Caenorhabditis elegans: one gene and its partners. The protein of the gene in region 2 purifies or fractionates together with the protein of the main gene of each other region. This does not show direct contact. Each region holds a gene or a part of one and is shown on either strand. Other genes may lie near its edges. The genes, in order: R160.10, C39B5.5, etfb-1 and elac-2.

Region 1 (2,566 bases), on a different chromosome or scaffold from region 2:
TTTGTCATTGTTAGCACTGCACAGATTAATTATTGATCTCCTTTTTTTGTTAATGAATGTTGATGTTACATATGTCAATTTCTGAACAATTTTTCATATCGATTTTGGTTGAAACCAATAAGTATACCTGTATATTTAATTAATTATCCTTCTTAACTTTTTGTTAGTTTCAATTACTATTTCGCAAACCTGCATGACTTGTTTCAACATGGACATCATCAAATGCATCTATCTCATCTTGCTCCTAATTTGGTCAATATTTTTGTAAGTGACGATGATCTGAAATTATTTTTAAATAGTTATGGAAATTATAGCATCATCCTATTCATAACTCTCATCAGAGAATGGTTCTTCCCACAGCCCCGTTTTTTCGAAAGATTTGAGGATGAAGAGGAGCCAAGTCGTCCACAAGGATTTGTATCTCTTGACGTGGAGCAACTGGAGCAAATGCATGGGCTGGAAGTATATGCTGCCAACAAAGTGATCATAGACACTGTTCCACTTCTTCCTATTTAAAGTAAGAAAAATGTTCGTAAATTTTTTCAAAATTTTATTACAGACGATCAACATGCACCATATGTATTCATAATTTGTAACAACGATAAAATTGAAATACAGTAGTATAGACTATTTCTTTTTAGTAGCTCTCGAATAACTTTTTTGTGGATAAATTTTAGCGTGCCCTTCCGTTTTGGTTAATATTTTGGTATTGTTAGGTTGCCAAACCATAACTATTATTTTGGTTTGATCAGAGGTGTGCGGTAATTGGTAAGTTGAGCAATTGCTGGTTTTTGAATTTGCTGCAGTGAGCAATTTTGGAACTGGCTGAAATTGCCCAAATTTCGGATTACTGGAATTCTTAAACTTTTCTTAAACCATATTTATGATTGTAAAATTTAACCTTGACGTAATTCATGTGTTAATTATTTCGTCAGACATTTTTTTTCTGTGTGAGGAGTAAAAATTCTGGTCTAAAATGCATACATGTACACGCTTTTATAAAACATTTCAATTCTCATTATCGGCGATTGAAAAATATATCGCACACATCTCATTTCAAGATTCAGATACCTCATTTTTATACAACTCAAACTTTACCATGGACGTCCAGAATTTAGTGACCATTGGATTTTTGATAGTTATCGGTTTGACTTCGGCGGTGGTCATGTAATTTCTTATTCCACTTTCAAAAAATAATTCAATTTTATCCAAAATTTTAGAATTTGGTACTTCATTGCCGAGGTGTTTCAAAACATGCATAAACACATTGCTCGAACCACAGTCATCCGAGTTGAAGCTACCATTTAGAGGTTGCTGTCATCTATTTTTTTCAAATTTTTTAATGGGAATTAATTTCAGAAATTGTACTGCTAATCATAGATGTTTCCTGATACACCCTACCGATTGCCCATTACTTTTTTACACCAATAAACGTATTTAAATTATTACCGATTTATCTTCTATTACTATATCCCACAAGGTTGTTAATCCTTGTCTCATATTTATAAGTTTCATTTTTTGTTCAACATTCCGAATTATTTGTCAGATGGAAACAGCTCAAACAATCAAATATCATGTTCCGCCGATGCTCATTTTTTTGGTTGTTGTCCTCTCGTGTCTCAGGTGAGAACAAAGTTTTCAGGAGTCTTTTAAAAAACAAAATGAACATTTTTGAATTTCCAGCATTGGTTTTTTGGTAGACTACATCATGCAAAAGTACGGTTGCTGTGGACGGAGAGGAAGTTGCTGCCGGCCAGAGCTGGAAGGAGATGAGGACGCTGAGAACGCTCAAGGGTCTATACCCCTAGCATCACTTGGAACAACTAACGACCCATTACCAGGAAGACTACCATTGCTGTCACGAGCTCCTATCAACAATTCACGCGTTTAAGTGTCTTATTGTATTATTTTCCCAATTGCTATAACCCGCATAATCATACCACACATTTCAATAAATTGTCATAATTATCATTGAAACCTAGAGAGAACATAAGTTTGTGTTTAATTTTTATATGTATAAAGTTATTACTGAATAAATTGGCAATTTCAAAATGATTCCATTTAGCCCCAATTTGCAATATATACGAAAATTAGATCAATAGGTTTTTGTCATGTGTCCCTTTTTTTCGTACTGTTGTGTAGTATCCAGTTATAGAATTATTTCCAGACATTACAAAAACATTCTCTATATATCAACAAACTCGAATTATTTTGTTTTAAAAGCGTCGCTGCTCAGAGAATTCAATGGCTCCGTATCACACTGAGCAGCGACTCATGCAAATTCAAATTGTAATTGTTTACTGAGTTTGAATCTATGCACTCATAGATTATTGGCTCGGCCAGTACATACTTGCAAGTCTCTCAATCAATTAAGAATAGAGGTTTATGTTTTTGATGTGTTTTTTACACAGTATTTGCTCTTCGCCTCCAATCCCCCTTGCCCTCTTCACCACTTTTTCATGTTCCCTTTCCAACATTTTTTTGTGCGCATATAGCATCTGCCAATTTTCTTCCATCTACTCAATCTGTGCATTGCCCCGTGATGAGCAGCGAGTGACGAATATCT
Region 2 (5,582 bases):
GCTTAGTCAATATGGGTGTCATTTTGAAGCTGAAATCACGGTGAATTCAAAAATTCTAGTTTTAATGTCATATTTTTAGCTTTGCTCAAAACTGGGTCTCGAAGCAAAAACTTACTGCTTTCCAGATGCAATACAATCCGTACATTTACTGGATTCCACAAAACTAGAGAAATGAAAAAGTAATAGAGAGTAAACTAGAAATTTCATTTAGAAAAATTCACCGCAATGAAAGAAATGAAAAAAATGTGATAAGAAGACAAAAACTGCGATTTTTATAGGATTTTTTTGGGAAAAGAGCACATGGCGAGCACGTTATCAGTGCTAAACTAGAAATTTGATTATAAAAATTAAAATATTTAAAATTCCCGTCAGTAAACGCGCTCCATTGCTAATTTCCGCTTTTTTTCGCATTAGAGCGCAGTTGCTCCACGATGTCCGTTTAAATTCAAATTTTTGAGTTAAAAATAAGCAAAAATGATAGAATTTAATATAATAATTGTGGAAAATTAATAAATCTCATTTTATTATCACAAAAATTCAACGAAAAAAAAATTTAAAAAATCAAATGTCTTCATTATCTCCGATTTCTCTGTCAACTGTCGAAAAAACTCTCTCCCAGTCTGGAATAAATGGGGACCAACTTTTTGAGCTCCGTTCCATCACCAAAATGTTGAAAATCTGCAAAAAAAATCGAAAATTTTTGAGTTAAAAAATTTTTCAAAAAAAAAAAAATTTTTTTTTTGAAAATTTTTTTCCAAAATTTTCAAAATTAAAGCCAGTGAATTTCAGGTGTTCTATAGTTATGAAGTTTGAATTTTGCGCGTTTTTAATGCCGAAATTTCAATTTTTAGCCAAGTATCGCGTCATCGGTGTTTGCGTACTTTTGAAGGTACAGTACCCCCCGCGAAAATCGATAATTCAAAATTTGAGTGGAAATTCAAGAAAAAAAGGATTTATATGTGGAAAATGGCGTAGAATTTAATTTTTCGCAAGGATTTTTGAAGGAAAAAGACTTTTAAAGGTTTTTTTTTTAATTTTGAAAAAAAAAAAATTTTGAAATTTTTCGAAATAAAAAATAACTTTCAGAAATTTTTTTAAATGTTAATATTCTAATTTCATTTCCGAATTTTTCATCAATTTATCCCCACTTACCGCCCGTTTCGGCCCGTTAAAATGCACACAATTCTGCTCCTGAATCGTGTAGGCATTGACCTGATATCTCGAGCAATTTGAAGTTCCCGCCAGAACTTTTAGATCATATTGCATTCCGGACACTATTTGACCGTAAGCTGACAGTACTTTCAGCGGAACCCACATCCATTCGCCTTCAATTCGTTGGTTTATGTCGGCTTCAAAGGATTTCCAGACGAGGCGCTGGAATTTTTTTTTAATTTTGACGATTTCGCGTCGAGACCCAAAAATATGAAATCAGCATGAAAAAAGCTTTCAAATAAGTATAATCATGACTAGATTACGTTAAGTCTAAAAAGTTTTGGGTCTCGCCGCGACACAGCTGAAGTTGGAGCTACCGTAACCCGGAGTTTTCAAAATGCTCGGAACCTAGGCAATATGGGGCTCATTTGAAAGCTAAAAACACGATAAATTCAAAAATGATTGTAATGTTGACTTTAAACTACCATTTTTCTCAAAATTTCAGTTTTACCGCAGTCAATCTCCCATTAATATCCAGTGGGCCCTCTCTGAATGTCTCCCCATCATCTGGAACGTCAGCAAGCTTCTGCATCACTTGAAATGGGCTTATCGATCGAGTTGTCACTGGAGCACTTCTGATTAGTTGCTGGAAAAAAATTACAAATTAAAATTTAGAATTGCTAATTTTTAAGGTAAAATTTGATTTTCTGGATTTTTGAGTAATAAATTCAAATTCAGCTTGTTCGGAGCTTTCAAATGACCCCCTTCATGACTAGGTTCCGGCTATTTTTTAATTTTCGGGTCCCGCCACGATGGGTACTGTAGCAAGAGTTTCAGCTGTGTCGGGGTACCGAAATTTTCAAAGTGGCCGGAACCTAGGCAATATGGGGGTCATTTGAAAGCTCTTGAAGAGCTGAGCTCAAAAATCGTACTTATTTGAAGTTTTAAGTAGAATTGAAAAAAAGATAAAAGTTGAGTTGAAGTTTTTAAGCATAGAATTTGATTTAATAAATTTTTGAGTAATAAATTCGAATTCAGCTAGTCTAGAGTTTTCAAATGACCTCCATCATGACTAGGTTCCACGCATTTTGAAAATTTGGGTCCCGCCACGATGGGTACTGTAGCAAGAGTTTCAGCTGTGTCGGGGTAACGAAATTTTCAAAGTGGCCGGAACCTAGGCAATATGGGGGTCATTTGAAAGGTCTCAACGAGCTTAACTCGAAAATTTTGTTGAATTTTCGATTTAGCAGAATTTTAAAAATTTTAAGTTTTCGTTGCGAGACCCAAAACATTTTTTTGCAGATTTTTCGAAAAATAAATTTTCATGAGAAAATTTACTGTTCTTATGTTATTAGCTTCAAAATAACCCCCATCATGACTAGGTCCCGCGAATTTTGAAAATTTGGGTCCCGCCACGATGGGTACTGTAGCTTCAACTTCAGCTGTGTCGGGGTTCCGAAATTTTCAAAGTGGCCGGAACCTAGGCAATATGGGGGTCATTTGAAAGGTCTCAATGAGCTGAGCTCAAAAATCGTATTTATTTGAAGTTTTAAGTAGAATTGAAAAAAAGATAAAAGTTGAGTTGAAATTTTTAAGCATAGAATTTGATTTAATAAATTTTTGAGTAATAAATTCAAATTCAGCTTGTTCGGAGCTTTCAAATGACCCCCATCATGACTAGGTTCCACGCATTTTGAAAATTTGGGTCCCGCCACGATGGGTACTGTAGCAAGAGTTTCAGCTGTGTCGGGGTAACGAAATTTTCAAAGTGGCCGGAACCTAGGCAATATGGGGGTCATTTGAAAGGTCTCAATGAGCTGAGCTCAAAAATCGTACTTATTTGAAGTTTTAAGTAGAATTGAAAAAAAGATAAAAGTTGAGTTGAAATTTTTAAGCATAGAATTTGATTTAATAAATTTTTGAGTAATAAATTCAAATTCAGCTTGTTCGGAGCTTTCAAATGACCCCCATCATGACTAGGTTCCACGCATTTTGAAAATTTGGGTCCCGCCACGATGGGTACTGTAGCAAGAGTTTCAGCTGTGTCGGGGTACCGAAATGTTCAAAGTGGCCGTAACATATGCAATATGGGGGTCATTTGAAAGCTCTCGGAGAGCTGAGTTCAAAAATCGTACTTATTTGAAATTTCAAGAGAATTGAGGAAAAAAAAAATATATATATATATATATAAACTCACAAATCGATTAGAAACCGGAATAATTAGTTCAGAGGCTCTAAGCGGCGGGATGTCCACACTTATCTGTGATCCAACATCTACCCAGAAGCAAGTAGTGAATAATGTAATAATCCAAGGATTCAGGGACATTTTGAAATAGTTTAATTAGCTGAAAATCGTCACTTTTATACCATAGGAGATTTTTTGAATAGATAAATATTTTTTTTATTTTCTAGATAGCCTATCTAGCGGTCCTCAAATTTTTGATTGACACACACACACGTCTGTTGCAGCAGCAAAAAAATGGACACAAAGAACCCCAAAAAAAAAAAACGGAAAATTTTTAATTAGTTTAAGGGGGGGATTCCATCGTCTTTATGTACTTTTTTGGCGTCCGAAAAGTGTGTAAAAATTGACGGAGAGAGAGAAAATGTTACACTTTTGTTTTTTCAAGAGTCCTTTTCCCCATCAAAATCATCGAGAAAACAGTTTGTTGGATGCAATTTTTGCAAAAAAAAGTGGATTTTGGTCTAAAGAAGTATGAAAAAAAATTTCAGGAGAGTTTTTCCGCTGAAAAATCGATAAAAATCCGATTTTCCACCGAAAAATTGATAAAATTCTACTAATTTTGAATTTTCCGCTAAAAATCAATAAAAAATCCAATTTTTCAGAAAGAACCCGAGCTGCTGAGCTTCGTAAAACGTTGTATACGATACAAGGCACCTACAGTAACCCCAGTCGACATACTGTATTGGATGAAAGAGCTGAAAACTGTTATGCAAAGATCAAAAGCCGATTATCCGCCGCAAAGGTTGGAAATTTGAAAAAATTGATGGAAAATTCGAGTTTCCCGGCATTTTTTACCCCAAATTTACTTTTTTTTTTCATTTTTAAAAATTTTCTAGCTATTTTCCAAACAATTCTGCAATTTGTCGTCAAATTCGGTGTAGGCAAAGTGTTTGCGTACTTTCCGAGCTACAGTAACCCGAAGACGTTTTTCATTGTAAAATTCGAATTTCCCCACTAATTCCACACCCTAAACCTTCTTTTACAGCACAAAAATTGGTAAAAACCCCAAAATTTTTGAAAATTCCAGGGTTACTGTAGCCTCAAAAGTACGCAAACACCGAGTGACCGGGAATTGACTGGAAACGATGATTTAGGGCTGAAAAACTGCGGAAAAGTCGAATTTTTAAATGTTTTCAAGGGGTTTTTAGTGGAAAATCGAAAAAAAATGGAATAAAAAGTTTTCGAAAAAAAAAAATTTTTTTCGCAATTTTTTTTTCGCAAAAAAGTTGTTTTGTTTCACACTGAAAACTTCCGCAGAAATTTTTTCTCAAAAAATTTGAATTTCCCGCCAAAAAACTTTTAAAGCACGTGGTGCCAGGAGGCTGTCCCATTACGGTTTGATCTACCAAAAATGCGGGAATTTTTTCCGCCAAAACATGTGACGTCAGCACGTTCTTAACCATGAGAACTCTGCGTCGAGTTTCCTGTTTCGAGTTTCCCGCCAAAAATTTATTCGAAGAAAATTTGAAATTATCGCCAAAAATGTTTTCAAAAAAATTAAAAAAGTTGTGTGACGTCACAAAAAAATCAAATTTTTAGGATTTTATTGATTTTTAGCAATTTAAATACAAAAAATTATCGATTTTCTTTATAATAATCTTCTAATCGATGCTTCTAAATCCTCCAATTCAATGCATTTATTCGAAGAATCAATAATCGAATTTCTCAATCGATTAAAGCTTTTCACGTGTCCACTTCGGCATTTTTCCACCAATTTTTCCTGTTTTTCCATCGATTTTCGCACGATTTCGTCGATTTCCGCCGGCGCCCGTATTCTCCAATATCGATTTTCTTCGATTAAAATTTCCAGCTCGCCGGCCATGACGTCATCATCAGTCGCATAGTGACGTAGAAGATCGAGGAGACGCAGGCGAGTTAGACGGTGCTCTGATGAGAATTTGAGAAGGGTGGTGAATTGACGGGCGAAGAATTCGCTGAAAAATCGGGGTTGGGGGGATTTTTTTGGATTTTGCGGTATAAAAATCGAGTTTCCCGGCACTTTTTACCCCATTGACGCAATTTTCAGATTCTTGGTGTTTGCGTACTTTTGAGGCTATAGTAACCCTTGTAAAAATGAAAAATTCAAATTTCGGTGAAAATTCATGTTTTGAGGGGTTTTCTGGCATTTTTTATTACAAATTGTGCAGAAAAAAATTCGGAAAAAAAAATTTATTTTTTTGGAATT
Region 3 (4,354 bases), on a different chromosome or scaffold from region 2:
TGAGTTTCCGTAATACTATAAAGTGCAATTGCGCTCCACGGACAAATCTCCACCCCAAACCGTTGGGTCTCGTTAGGAATTGGCGGGAAAACCGTTTTTGCCAATTTTCCAGCATTTTTCGCTGTTTTCAATGAGTTTTTTTTTGTCAAAATTGAAAAAGTTAATGTCATAATCATTTTTAACCATAATTTCGGCATAAAAACATAAAAAATAACGAAAAATGCTTGAAAACGGGTAAAATCGTCGGAAGTAATCGTTATTTCGACCTAAAACTTATAAAAAATATGAAAAAAAGCTTAAAAATTGGCAAGAATAATGTAAAACATTTGAATTTCCCGTCTTGCCGCCAAATATTTACCTAACGAGACCCATCGTTTAGGGGCGGGGCGCGTAATTTTTCGCGCCCAGATAATAATCCGTAATATTTCCAGATCTACCTACACCAATTCTCCCATGGTTTTGTGAACAATGCATTCCGTTTTTTGATCGTTTCCCGTTCAAGCTATTCACTTTTATGAACAAAAATAATTTTTCATACTTTTTTAAACCTGCATCACATAAAACATTGAATAGAAAAAATAATAAAAATAATTTAAATACAAAATTTTCTGATTCGACTACTACAATAATTCAGCGGCGGAAGAGGTTATCGGGGGCTTAAGCCTTGACGAATCCCTTCTCCTTGAGCTTGGCGACAAGTGCCGAGACATCGTCGACGAATCCTCCGGCCTGGCGAACTGGTGGCTCGGTGACTTCAAGAGTTTCAGTTTGTGGTGTGATATCTACATTCAGATCTTTGATTGGAATGTTCTTCAGTGGCTTCTTCTTGGCCTTCATGATGTTTGGAAGAGTCGCGTAGCGGGGCTCGTTGAGGCGAAGATCGGCGGATAGGACGAATGGCACTTTGACCTGGAAAATAGAAAATTTTTCGAATAAAACTTTAGATCCGTGAATTTTGCAAACAAAATAGCGGCGCGCAGAAATAGGGGCGGGGCGTTATTTTGCAACCTTGCGGCACGGTTTTTCCTCCTTTTTTCGCTTTTTCAATTTTTCATGTTTTAATCTCCTTTTTTTTCGAATAAGAACGTTATTTAATTAACTATCAAAATTTATTAATCGATCCTTGAATTTTGCAAGAAATTTTGTCGCCCAGAAAGTGGGGCGGGGCATAGCTTTTGCAACACTGCCGCACGGGGTTTGCCTCCGCCCCTTTTCTACTGCTTTTAAGCTTTTCTTGTTGATTTTTTCAATAATTTCTTTTTTTTTCGAATGAAAATCCAATTCGAAAAAAAAGAGAAAAATCGAAACTTTATTGAAAAAATCAACAAAAAAAGCAGTGGAAAAGGGGCGGAGACAAACCCCGTGCGGCAGTGTTGCGTAAGCTACGCTCCGCCCCACTTTCTGTGCGACAAATTTTTGCAAAATTTAAGGATCGATTAATAAATTTTGATTTTAAATTAAATAACGTTCTCATTCGAAAAAAGAGATTAAAACATGAAAAATTGAAAAAATCAAACAAAAAACAAGCGGAAAAAGGAAAAACCGTGCCGCAGGGTTGCAATATCAAGCCCCGTCTCGCGTTCTGTGCGGGGCTGCTTTTCACGGCTATCGATCGATATAGTAAGAATCACCTTAATCGTGTCAAGACCTCCATCAATTTCACGGGTGACCTTCATGTGTCCAGCGCCTGCGTCTTCAACCTTCGACGCGTAGAGAGCCTGTGGCCACTCGAGCAGGCCAGCGAGAATCGGAGCAGTTTGCGACGAATCATCATCGATTGCCTGCTTTCCGAGAAAAACCGCGTCGAACTTCTCCTGCTCGACAATCTTCTGAAGCGCCTTCGCCACGTGGAATGACTCGAGCTTGCCAGCTTCGGCGTCGGTCACCTGAACGTGAACTGCCTTGTCGGCGCCCTTCGCCAACGCGGTCCGGAGCACTTCGGCGGATTTTGGTCCGCCGAGCGAGAACGCGACGACTTCGGTGGCGAGCTTCTTCTCCTTGAGCTTGACGGCCTCCTCTAAAGCGATCTCGTCGAATGGATTCATGCTGTGTTGAACTCCTTCGGTGACGACTCCCGAGCGGTCCGGCTTGACACGGATCTGGAAATTTTGGGCTTTTATAGAATCGAAATGTGTCTAAAATCTCCAATTTATCCAAGTTTTCCGTGTCACAGCGGTTGGAAATCAGCTTTTATTGCCAATTTTAATCGATTTTCCGTTGATTGGGGTACACTTTGAGCCAAAAATGACAAAAAACTGATTTCCAACTGCTGCGACACGGAAAAGTTGGTGAAATTCAAGATTTTCGCCGAAATTAAGCTGTTTTTTCGAATTTTTTGCTCTTTTTCCTGAAATCCTACCTTGACAGCATAGTCGACAACTCTCTTGACTCCGACGAGAATCTTCATCGCTTGGCTGGAAGAAAAACTGGGAATAAATTTATTTATTTATTAATAAATGAAGAAATGATCGAAAAAAACAGCGGCGGCGGGGTCAAAGTACACACTTCAGAGTTCAGAATTTGATTTTTAAATTTGAATCAATTAATTAAAGCCGAAATTCGAAATTTTAGCCGAAAAATGTTTAAAATAGCTTTAAAACTGCCACGTTTTTCCTTAAAAACCTTCGAAAATTCCGTTTTTTATAGAAAATTCGTGAAAAATAAGAATAAAAATAATAAAACAAGTGATGAGAGAGATAAGACGATGTGGAGAGAGAGTGTGGGAAGACGAGAGACGCAGAGAATGAAACGCGGGCGGTGATTGTTGTGGCCTACACGTAAGCGACCGATTTGTAGAAAAAATGTTCTGAAAAATAAAAGAATAAATATTTCGAAGAAGACATGAGCTGAACTTCGTAGATCTAGATAGATTAGATAAAACAAAAAAAAAGCAGAAAAATTGTTGCTTCATTATTGAGAGAAATGTTGTATATACAAGAAAAAAAGCAGTATCTTAATTTTAAAAATGAAACCGTCAGCAGAATATTCATATTCACAGAAATTTCTTGAGAAATCTGGAAGATCACATGTTGCGAAGAGCAGCCAGGCGTTCTGTGAGGTCCTTGTCTTCTGAAACAGCTTGCGTCCCGGTCGGCAGAGCAGTTGGCACGTTTGACGGAAGCTCCTGGTTGAGCTCGATGCCTGCCTTGTCGGCGGCCTCTGCAATCAGAGCATCCACCTGTGACTTCGGAGCATTCAACACTGTCGTTCCGTCCATCGTCTTTTCCATCGTCTTTGTGGTCACGTCGAGATCTTCGAAATCTCTTTCGAATCTATCCATCAACTGTTGAACTTTCTCGAGATTCATGCTCTTCATGGCGCTTTCCATGGCTTTCACTACGCCGCTCATGCTGGCGGTTACTCGTTTTTGTGTGGCGGCGGTTTGAACTCGGGCGGCCACTGCGTCGATTCTGGCGGCCATTTTAATGTAGTTCACTGCTTCATTCTTCTTCCTGATCGCATTTTCAGCATGAACCTGTGCGACTTCTTTGTTTCCTTTCTGGAAAAAATCGAATTTAAAAAATAATTGTTTTTTTTTTCATTTTTAATTATTTTTTACCTTAATAGCTGCCGTCAGCTTGTCTTTCTCGACCTTTTCATCCTTCTCGCATCGTTGAGCATTCTTTTCCAACTGTTTCGCTGCGAATTTAAGATCAAATAAGTGTTCTGGAAGATAAAAACATGAAAATAAGTCAAAATCAAGAGAAATCAATTTGAAACTCACTTTCCAAGGCCATACTGCTTTCTCCGGCTCCCATGATGATTTTATGTGTATTAAGCTGGTATTTGAGTTTCTGAAATACGAGAATTACGGTGAGAAAGTGCTTTTATAAGTTAAATTTCGCAAGAAAGCGATAAAAACAAATTCATGAGTCATGTGTGTGTATCTGCGGACTTTACGTCATAAACGACGACACTTGATGTCCGCAAGCAGCGGATCTTACGACAATTTTGGGTTGTAGAAATTTCTGTATTTTAAGTCGGTTTCAGGCTATAAAACACAAAATTATCAACGTCAAAAATATTTCCAGATCCGCTATATGAATTTGAAAAAATTAACATCGTAATTTCACCGATAGATAAAATCGCACAAAAATAAACTACCATAAACTTTTTTGCGTGCCAAGACCAATCTGAATAAATCTGTGCGCCTTTCTTTGAAAATTACTGTAATTATCGACTTTTCGTAGTTTTTTTGTAAAAAAAATTGAATTTATTCATCAATAAACTAACAAAAAACAGTATATGTTTTAACAAATCAAAAGAAATAAAAAAATTGAAGAAAATACCGCAATTTTTAAATTACAGTACTCTTTAAAGGCGCACACCTTCACGCATTTAACAAACAATTGTC
Region 4 (7,320 bases), on a different chromosome or scaffold from region 2:
TATTTATTATTTAATTAGCTATTTAATTTATATATTTTTTTAATTTCAGCTATCACCTTCCACAATATCCTGCCGTTTACCTGTGTCCTCGTTACTTCAAATCTACTATTCCAAGCAAGGATCTACAAAAAACTATCGAGAGGTTATAATTGCAGGAAACTCACAGCTACTTTTAGATGATGTATGACCTTCTTATTTAATGTATACAAAATTAGTTTTTTATTCAGGTTCCGTATCTTTCTGGCCAAGAAATTCGTATGCCAATCTCAATTTCATTCACAGAAGTCACACCACCTCCGAAGAACATATTTTCAGCTTTACCTTACGTTGATATTCGACTACCTCACGACTTCTTCTATCCATTTATGAGCACTTCAAACTACTCTGCTAGCTTAAACTATTCACAATGTATTTTTATCATTTTTATAATCTATATTCTTAAATAAAAACTGTTTTTAAAGTATTTATCCTTGTTAATTTTTATTAAATCTAGTCACAAACTAAAGAAAATATTTATTTTATTTAACTTTAATGTTTAAGATTTAAACTTTTAAGATAAAAGTTAATGATTCAAAGAAATAAATAAAAATAAAAACGATAGAAAAAACGAAAGTCAAGAAGGACGCAAGCAATTCTTTGCTGACGCATGTCTCGTGAAATTTGCGTGATGGCGCACTTCTCGTGCACTTTTCTCGAGCTTTCAGATTCATTTTTCAACTCAATTCTTTACAAAAAACTGCACTTTTACCGCTTTAAAATCAATAAATTTAATCAATTTCTGTTTTCAGGGAATAAATACACACAAAAATGGAAGAGTACACCAGAGAGCCATGGTAAGATTTCCTAAAATTGGTTTTTTTACTGAAAATAATTTTTTCCAGCCCATATCGTATCGGAGATGATATTGGATCGGCGTTTGCGATGGGTCTCGTTGGAGGATCCATTTTCCAAGCTTTTGGAGGATATAAAAATGCGGCGAAAGGAAAGAAATTGGTGATTAATTTTTTAAAGACAAAAATACTTAATTAATTGATTAATTTAGGTTGGGATGATGCGAGAAGTACGAATGAGAAGCACATTAACAGGAGTTCAGTTTGCCGCTTGGGGAGGAATGTTCAGTACAATCGATTGTTGTCTTGTCGCCATCCGCAAGAAGGAAGACCCCATCAACTCTATTGTTTCTGGAGGATTGACTGGAGCTCTTTTGGCGATCCGTTCAGGACCAAAGGTAGCAGAATAGCTTTAATTTAGTGAATTAATAATAATTTAATAATTTTTGTTTAGGTGATGGCAGGAAGTGCGATTCTTGGCTCTGTAATTCTGGCTATGATCGAAGGAGTCGGATTGGTGACCACCCGCTGGATGGGAGCAATGATGGATCCAACACAGCCGCCGGTATGTTTTGTTTTCTGGCTCAAAACTTATTTATTTATTTATTCACTATTTTTGCAGCCAGAAGCTCTCGACGATCCACGCAGTCTGGGACAAAAGAGTCAAGCAGAACCAGGACTCGACCAAACGAGACCCTTCGGAATTCCAACTGGATTACCAAATCTGTCCTAAATCTTTTTTCACTCATATCCGTTTTTCTTTATGCTTTTGTCTCTTATCTCAATTTTCCCCCCTCCAACTTCGGTGATCGGCCGATTCCTCTACATTTTTTAGGAGCTCCAATTTTATTAGTTACATATTACATTAGTGTTGTTTGTTTTGTTGATGATGTTCATTGCGATCACGAATCTTATTTAGATTCGCGCTTTCCTTCCAAAAATCAAGTTTCAGATCCGTATGGGTGCACGGCATCTCCATCTCTCCCCTGTTTTTTCGAATTTCTTTCCCCTTTAATTTCTTTTTAATAATCTTCACTGTTCCCTATTTCTTTTTCCGATGAAGACGTTGTTTATAATATCATGATGATTCAATCGTGTTTAAAGTAAAATTAAATCTTGAAATTATACATTAACTTCCAGCTCTTTAGCACAATAGAGTGCATGAAATTCAAATAAATTTCAGCTGAAAGCTCGAAGCTGATGCTCGGAGCGATTGCGAGGAAAACTGTAGAGAATCGGATTCTGTAAGGGTTTGTGAGTGGTCCCCCCAATTGAAATAGACGAGAAAATTTGCGATTTTAGGCAAAAATTCTGAAATTTCATTATTTTTTACCCGAAAACCTTGAAATTCGAGATTTCTCGTTTAAAAAACGCGAAATTTTTATACAGAAACTCCAGGTTTTGAGAAAAAACGGGAATTTTTCTACATTTTGCCTGAAAATATCGATATTTGATTTTTAAACAATGAATTTCACGGTGTTTTTTGCTAGAAATGCATTTTAAAAATTTGAAAACATGAAAATGTTGTTTTTTGGCATAAAGTGTATAAAAATATCGGAAATTTTGCGGAAAATTGCATGAAATGTTTTTATGCTAAAAATACGGTATATGGTCTCGACGCGAGAAAGTTTTGCAAACTGCAAAGAGGCGTGCGCCTTTAAAGAGTACTGTAATTTTAAACTTTTGTTTTTGCGGATATTTCATAGTTTTTCATCCCGTTTTCTTGAAATTGTATGTGTTTAAAAAATTATATATGTATCCCACAGTCTCGTCATCGAAAGCGCACAAAAAACAGCCTACTGGCGCGGATATATCCACGGCGAGACTTTGAAGCTACAGTACTCTTTAAAGGCGCACGCTTTTTCAAGTTTTGCAGCAAAAACTGTCGTGTCGAGACCTAGTTTGTTGGAGATTTGCAAAATTCCACACCTGGATAACAACAATTTTAATTTCTGCATGTTTTTCCGCTAGTACTTTCACATTTCGCAATTTTTCACAATCTCACTTTTCAGAGTTTCTCGTCACTTGATTTCTTCAACCAGCTGCTTATTTAAGGATAATAACGAAGAATTATTAGAAAGTATCAAGGAGAGAATTGCCAGAAATCGCCGAATTCTTCAGAAGCATTCGTCTTCACATTTGAAGTGAGTTTTATTGGGATTTTTTGTCTGAAAAGTACAGTACGGGGTCTCGGCACGACAATTTTGTTGAATGGCAAAATGCGTTAAAGAGACATTTTTCAAGATTTCACATATATGTTCGACCTCAAAACTTGAAATTTGACATGCTTCCGTCAATTTTTTCAAAATTTCAGTTGAAAAATACATAAACTGTATGAAAAAATTCGAATTTTTGATTTTTTTGACGCTATTTAATAAACTTTACCAATATTTCAGAGCTCGAGAAGTAAACGCAAGCATCTCAAATCTGCGACAATCAATGGCGGCAGTGCAGAAGAAACAAAAAGCGGCTCACGAACCACCGGCCAACTCAATTGTCAACATTCCCAGTCAAGTATCGATCGAAGTTCTCGGTAATGGAACAGGACTTCTCCGAGCATGCTTCATCCTTCGAACACCACTGAAAACCTACATGTTCAACTGCCCTGAGAATGCATGCAGATTCCTGTGGCAGCTTAGGATCCGAAGTTCAAGCGTCGTTGATCTTTTCATCACATCTGCAAATTGGGATAATATTGCTGGAATTTCATCAATTCTACTTTCTAAGGAATCAAATGCATTGTCTACTCGACTTCATGGTGCAATGAATATCAAACACTTTTTGGAATGTATTCGACCATTTCAAGATTCGGATTACGGTAGCTGCAAGTATCCATCTCAAGTTGAAGAACGTCCATATACAATGGAGAATTATGAGGATGCCGGATTAAAGGTCACATATATTCCTCTGAGTCCACCGTTGAATATCGGAAGTAACAACGAAAAAAGTAAAAATGTGAAAGTCAACAATGTAGACATTGCATTTTTAATCGAAATGAAGGAGGCAGCCAGACGAATCGATACGATGAAGTTGATGGAACTGAAAGTACCGAAAGGTCCACTAATTGGAAAACTGAAATCAGGAGAAGCAGTTACTCTTCCAGATGGAAGGACGATTCAACCTGATCAAGTTTTCTCATCGGATAAAGTTGAAGGAGACAAGCCACTGCTTTTAGTGACAGAATGTACTACAGAGGATCATGTGAAAGCACTGATAGACTCATCATCACTGCAACCATTTTTGAATGGGGAAAAACAGTTGGATTATGTAAGATTGAAAAAAGAATTATTGACATTAAAAAATACATTTTCAGATGGTTCATATCAGTGATGATGCAGTAATCAATACTCCAACCTACAGACATTTGATGGAGAAGCTCAACAATCCCAGTATCACTCATTTGCTGATCAATGGAGGGAATCCTGTGATTCCAGCTGTGGAAAGTGTCTATAAGTAAGGAAAATATGAAATATTGAATAGATCTACGAATTCGAGATCTGCGAAAACAAGATCCAGGGTCTCAAGAGCTGCAGTTGGCACGATTTCAGGACCTCTGTTTTCGCAGATCTTCTATTTGACGAGATCCCGTTTTCGTGTTCCCTCGCGGCATCAGAAAATTCAAAAAATTTCAGTTTTACAAAATCCATAGGTTTTAAGAATCCAAATTGTTATTTACAGACACACTCGCCTTCTTCGATCAATTGCTCCATCTCTCTTCCCAGCTCTTCACCCAATTGATTGGAGTGGAATTATAACTCAAAATGAGGAGCTATCACAACGACAGGATCAATTCATTCGAGTGGCTCCAATGCAACGATATTGGATGCGCCGAGGAGCTTCGTTCAACGAGGAGCCCATCGTCAACAATTTGCTAGCTGCTGAGCCAGAGCTGTCGGATAAAGCGAAGGAATTGATTAAGGAATATCAGAAGTTGGAGAAGGAGAATAAAATGGACTGCGAATTTCCGAAATTAACATTCTTCGGAACTTCGTCCGCGGTTCCATCAAAATATCGAAATGTGACAGGATATCTGGTGGAAGCATCAGAGAACAGTGCGATTTTAATTGATGTTGGAGAAGGAACATATGGACAAATGAGAGCAGTTTTTGGAGAAGATGGTTGTAAGCAGCTTCTGGTAAATCTCAACTGCGTCCTTATCACTCACGCTCATCAGGATCATATGAATGGGCTGTACACAATTATTGCACGGAGAAAAGAAGCTTTCGAGTCCCTCGGAGCCCCTTACCGTCCACTAGTCCTTGTATGCAATCGGAATGTTCTGAAACCAATGAAGACCTACTCAATTTGCTTTGAAAACATTGAGCATCTCCTCGAAATTGTTGATATCTCCAGGTATCCACTAACACCTCCCGGGAGCCCTGGAGGGCCTCCTGGAAAAAGACCGAGACTTCCGAGCCCACATCTCCCGCCGAGCAGAGATGTTCTACAGGATATGTCGAGCAGTTTCGATAAAAAGGCATGGAAGCTGGATGAGCTGAAGGCTGTACAAGTTCATCATACAAGAATGGCAAATGGATTTGTGATGAGAGTTGCTGGAAAACGAATTGTATTCTCTGGAGATACGAAACCATGTGATTTGTTGGTTGAAGAAGGAAAAGATGCTGATGTTCTTGTTCATGAATCCACTTTTGAAGATGGTCATGAGGTAGATATGACACCAAAACCCCCAAAAAAATTGGCTAAAATTTCGTCTTTGGTTTTATTACTAAATTGTACGAGATTTTTAGCCAAAATACGGTAGCTAGGGTCTCAACACGACAATTTTTGGATAAATGCAGAGATTGAAGATAACAGAATTTTCATCGAATTTTCATAGTTTTTCGTTGAGAAATATATAAACTTGTGAGAAAAATCGATGGAAATCTTGCAGAAACAAAAGTTTGAACCTACAGTATTCTTCAAAGGCGAATAACTTTTTGCATTCGGCAAAAATTTTGTCGTGTCGAGACCCTATATTACGTATTTTTAGTGCAATAATGAAAAATCCAACTATTAGAAACCCGCTTTTTCAGTTTTTTTTTTTAATTTGAATTCCATCCAAACTGAGAACTTCAAGACCAATCAGCGACTTGCTCCTCTCATTCCGCCTGATTGGTCGAAATATGGGCGGAGCTATTCGCTGATTTGTCATATTTCTCATTTGGCAGGCATTCAAACAGCGAATTTTTTCTGAGTTTCGGACTATTTTGGTTTTTTAAGGCAAATATTGAAATTTTTCAACCAATTAATTTCAGGCTGATGCAATGAGAAAACGTCATTCAACAATGGGTCAAGCAGTCGATGTTGGAAAACGAATGAATGCCAAGCACATTATTCTGACACATTTCAGTGCGAGATATCCAAAAGTACCAGTTCTTCCTGAATATCTTGATAAGGAAAATATTGGTGTGGCGATGGATATGTTGAGAGTTCGATTCGATCATTTACCACTTGTTTCGAAACTTCTTCCCATTTTTAGGTAGATTTCAGATTCAGTATTCAGGAGAAAATGGGCCATAATGACCGAATATAACTGTGCTCGAATTTTTTTTTGCAAAATTGAAACAATTTTCAAAAAATTCAGAAATATTTTATAATTTTATTAATTTTTAACAGTTATATTCGGTTCTTGTGGTCCATTTTCTGTCATTTAAAGCAAAATGTTGAAATAAATAAATTTATAAATTTACAGAGAAGTATTCGTGGCGGAACTATTCGAATTAACCATCAAAAAAGAACAACGGGTTTTGAAAGACAAGGAATTGTCTGAAAAGCGAGGTCAATTAAAGGCTTGAGTGACTGGCCACATTCAACATTAATTCACTTTTCATCCAGTTATTCACGTTTTTAGTTCATTGTTACTTTTGTTTTCATTTTCTTGTTTTGTTGTCAAGGTTTTTTTCTCGGAAAGTTTTGGAACAAAAAATTTTTGGTTCCAGCAATAAAAATTTATATGGTACTATTAAGCTTCTTTTTTTCAGAAGAACAATATGTGAAGTTACAATTACAAGTGTTCTATTGGGGACGCACAAAACTGATCTCTTTGAAATTGAGGCGCAATCGCGCTCCAAATAAAACGACTACCCCAACCGTTGGGTCTCGTTAGGTATTTAGCGGTAAAACCAAATATACAGGCGGTTTTCGACTTTTTTGAAAATTGTTTTAAATGATTATTTTGTTTAAAAAAAATGCATGTGATATTGAAAAAGGGAATTCTACTGCTTTTTAAATTTTATTATCAATTTTATGTTATCAGTTTTAACGATTGAAACCGTTCAGAAAAATGAAAGCGTTTGAATTCCTAGTTTACCCGCCAATACCTAACAAGTTGAAAGGCGGGACGTTTTCAATTGGCCGTGGATCACGGCGTTCGTGTTTAATAGGGGAATTTTTCGGCGTTTCCGTATTATGTGCGTCAAAACTTTTTTCCGCCCAAGAAGTGTAAATTTTCATAATCTTGATAAATTCAAGTGGATAGAGAATATTCCTT

The links.
Region 1: the proteins of C39B5.5 (region 2) and R160.10 fractionate together in Caenorhabditis elegans (co-fractionation; one large-scale study listed by BioGRID). This does not show direct contact.
Region 3: the proteins of C39B5.5 (region 2) and etfb-1 fractionate together in Caenorhabditis elegans (co-fractionation; one large-scale study listed by BioGRID). This does not show direct contact.
Region 4: the proteins of C39B5.5 (region 2) and elac-2 fractionate together in Caenorhabditis elegans (co-fractionation; one large-scale study listed by BioGRID). This does not show direct contact.

The regions. Positions count from the first base shown.
Region 1 is NC_003284.9:4,366,493-4,369,058, reverse strand, and holds R160.10 (uncharacterized protein), read left to right. Parts: upstream 1-1,544; 5' UTR 1,545-1,546; coding exon 1,547-1,623; intron 1,624-1,683; coding exon 1,684-1,891; 3' UTR 1,892-2,033; downstream 2,034-2,566. Other genes in the region: R160.4 (DUF4845 domain-containing protein), read left to right, coding at 209-264, 315-516.
Region 2 is NC_003281.10:2,206,166-2,211,747, reverse strand, and holds C39B5.5 (Cystatin domain-containing protein), read right to left. Parts: upstream 3,585-5,582; 5' UTR 3,479-3,584; coding exon 3,350-3,478; intron 1,799-3,349; coding exon 1,664-1,798; intron 1,375-1,663; coding exon 1,153-1,374; intron 679-1,152; coding exon 562-678; 3' UTR 506-561; downstream 1-505. Other genes in the region: C39B5.14 (Fungal lipase-type domain-containing protein), read right to left, coding at 116-207; C39B5.6 (Glutamyl-tRNA(Gln) amidotransferase subunit B, mitochondrial), read right to left, coding at 4,986-5,331.
Region 3 is NC_003279.8:2,417,940-2,422,293, forward strand, and holds etfb-1 (Electron transfer flavoprotein subunit beta), read right to left. Parts: upstream 2,415-4,354; 5' UTR 2,408-2,414; coding exon 2,360-2,407; intron 2,100-2,359; coding exon 1,632-2,099; intron 910-1,631; coding exon 658-909; 3' UTR 522-657; downstream 1-521. Other genes in the region: F23C8.13 (PDZ domain-containing protein), read left to right, coding at 432-518; did-2 (Charged multivesicular body protein 1b), read right to left, coding at 3,023-3,499, 3,560-3,666, 3,725-3,758.
Region 4 is NC_003282.8:4,738,961-4,746,280, reverse strand, and holds elac-2 (Zinc phosphodiesterase ELAC protein 2 homolog), read left to right. Parts: upstream 1-2,013; 5' UTR 2,014-2,030; coding exon 2,031-2,074; intron 2,075-2,842; coding exon 2,843-2,974; intron 2,975-3,226; coding exon 3,227-4,097; intron 4,098-4,143; coding exon 4,144-4,283; intron 4,284-4,508; coding exon 4,509-5,496; intron 5,497-6,085; coding exon 6,086-6,309; intron 6,310-6,522; coding exon 6,523-6,625; 3' UTR 6,626-6,791; downstream 6,792-7,320. Other genes in the region: tctn-1 (Tectonic domain-containing protein), read left to right, coding at 50-181, 228-446; timm-17B.1 (putative mitochondrial import inner membrane translocase subunit tim-17B.1), read left to right, coding at 808-833, 882-993, 1,043-1,228, 1,285-1,395, 1,453-1,563. UniProt on the Caenorhabditis elegans protein: Zinc phosphodiesterase, which displays some tRNA 3'-processing endonuclease activity. Probably involved in tRNA maturation, by removing a 3'-trailer from precursor tRNA. Involved in germline proliferation.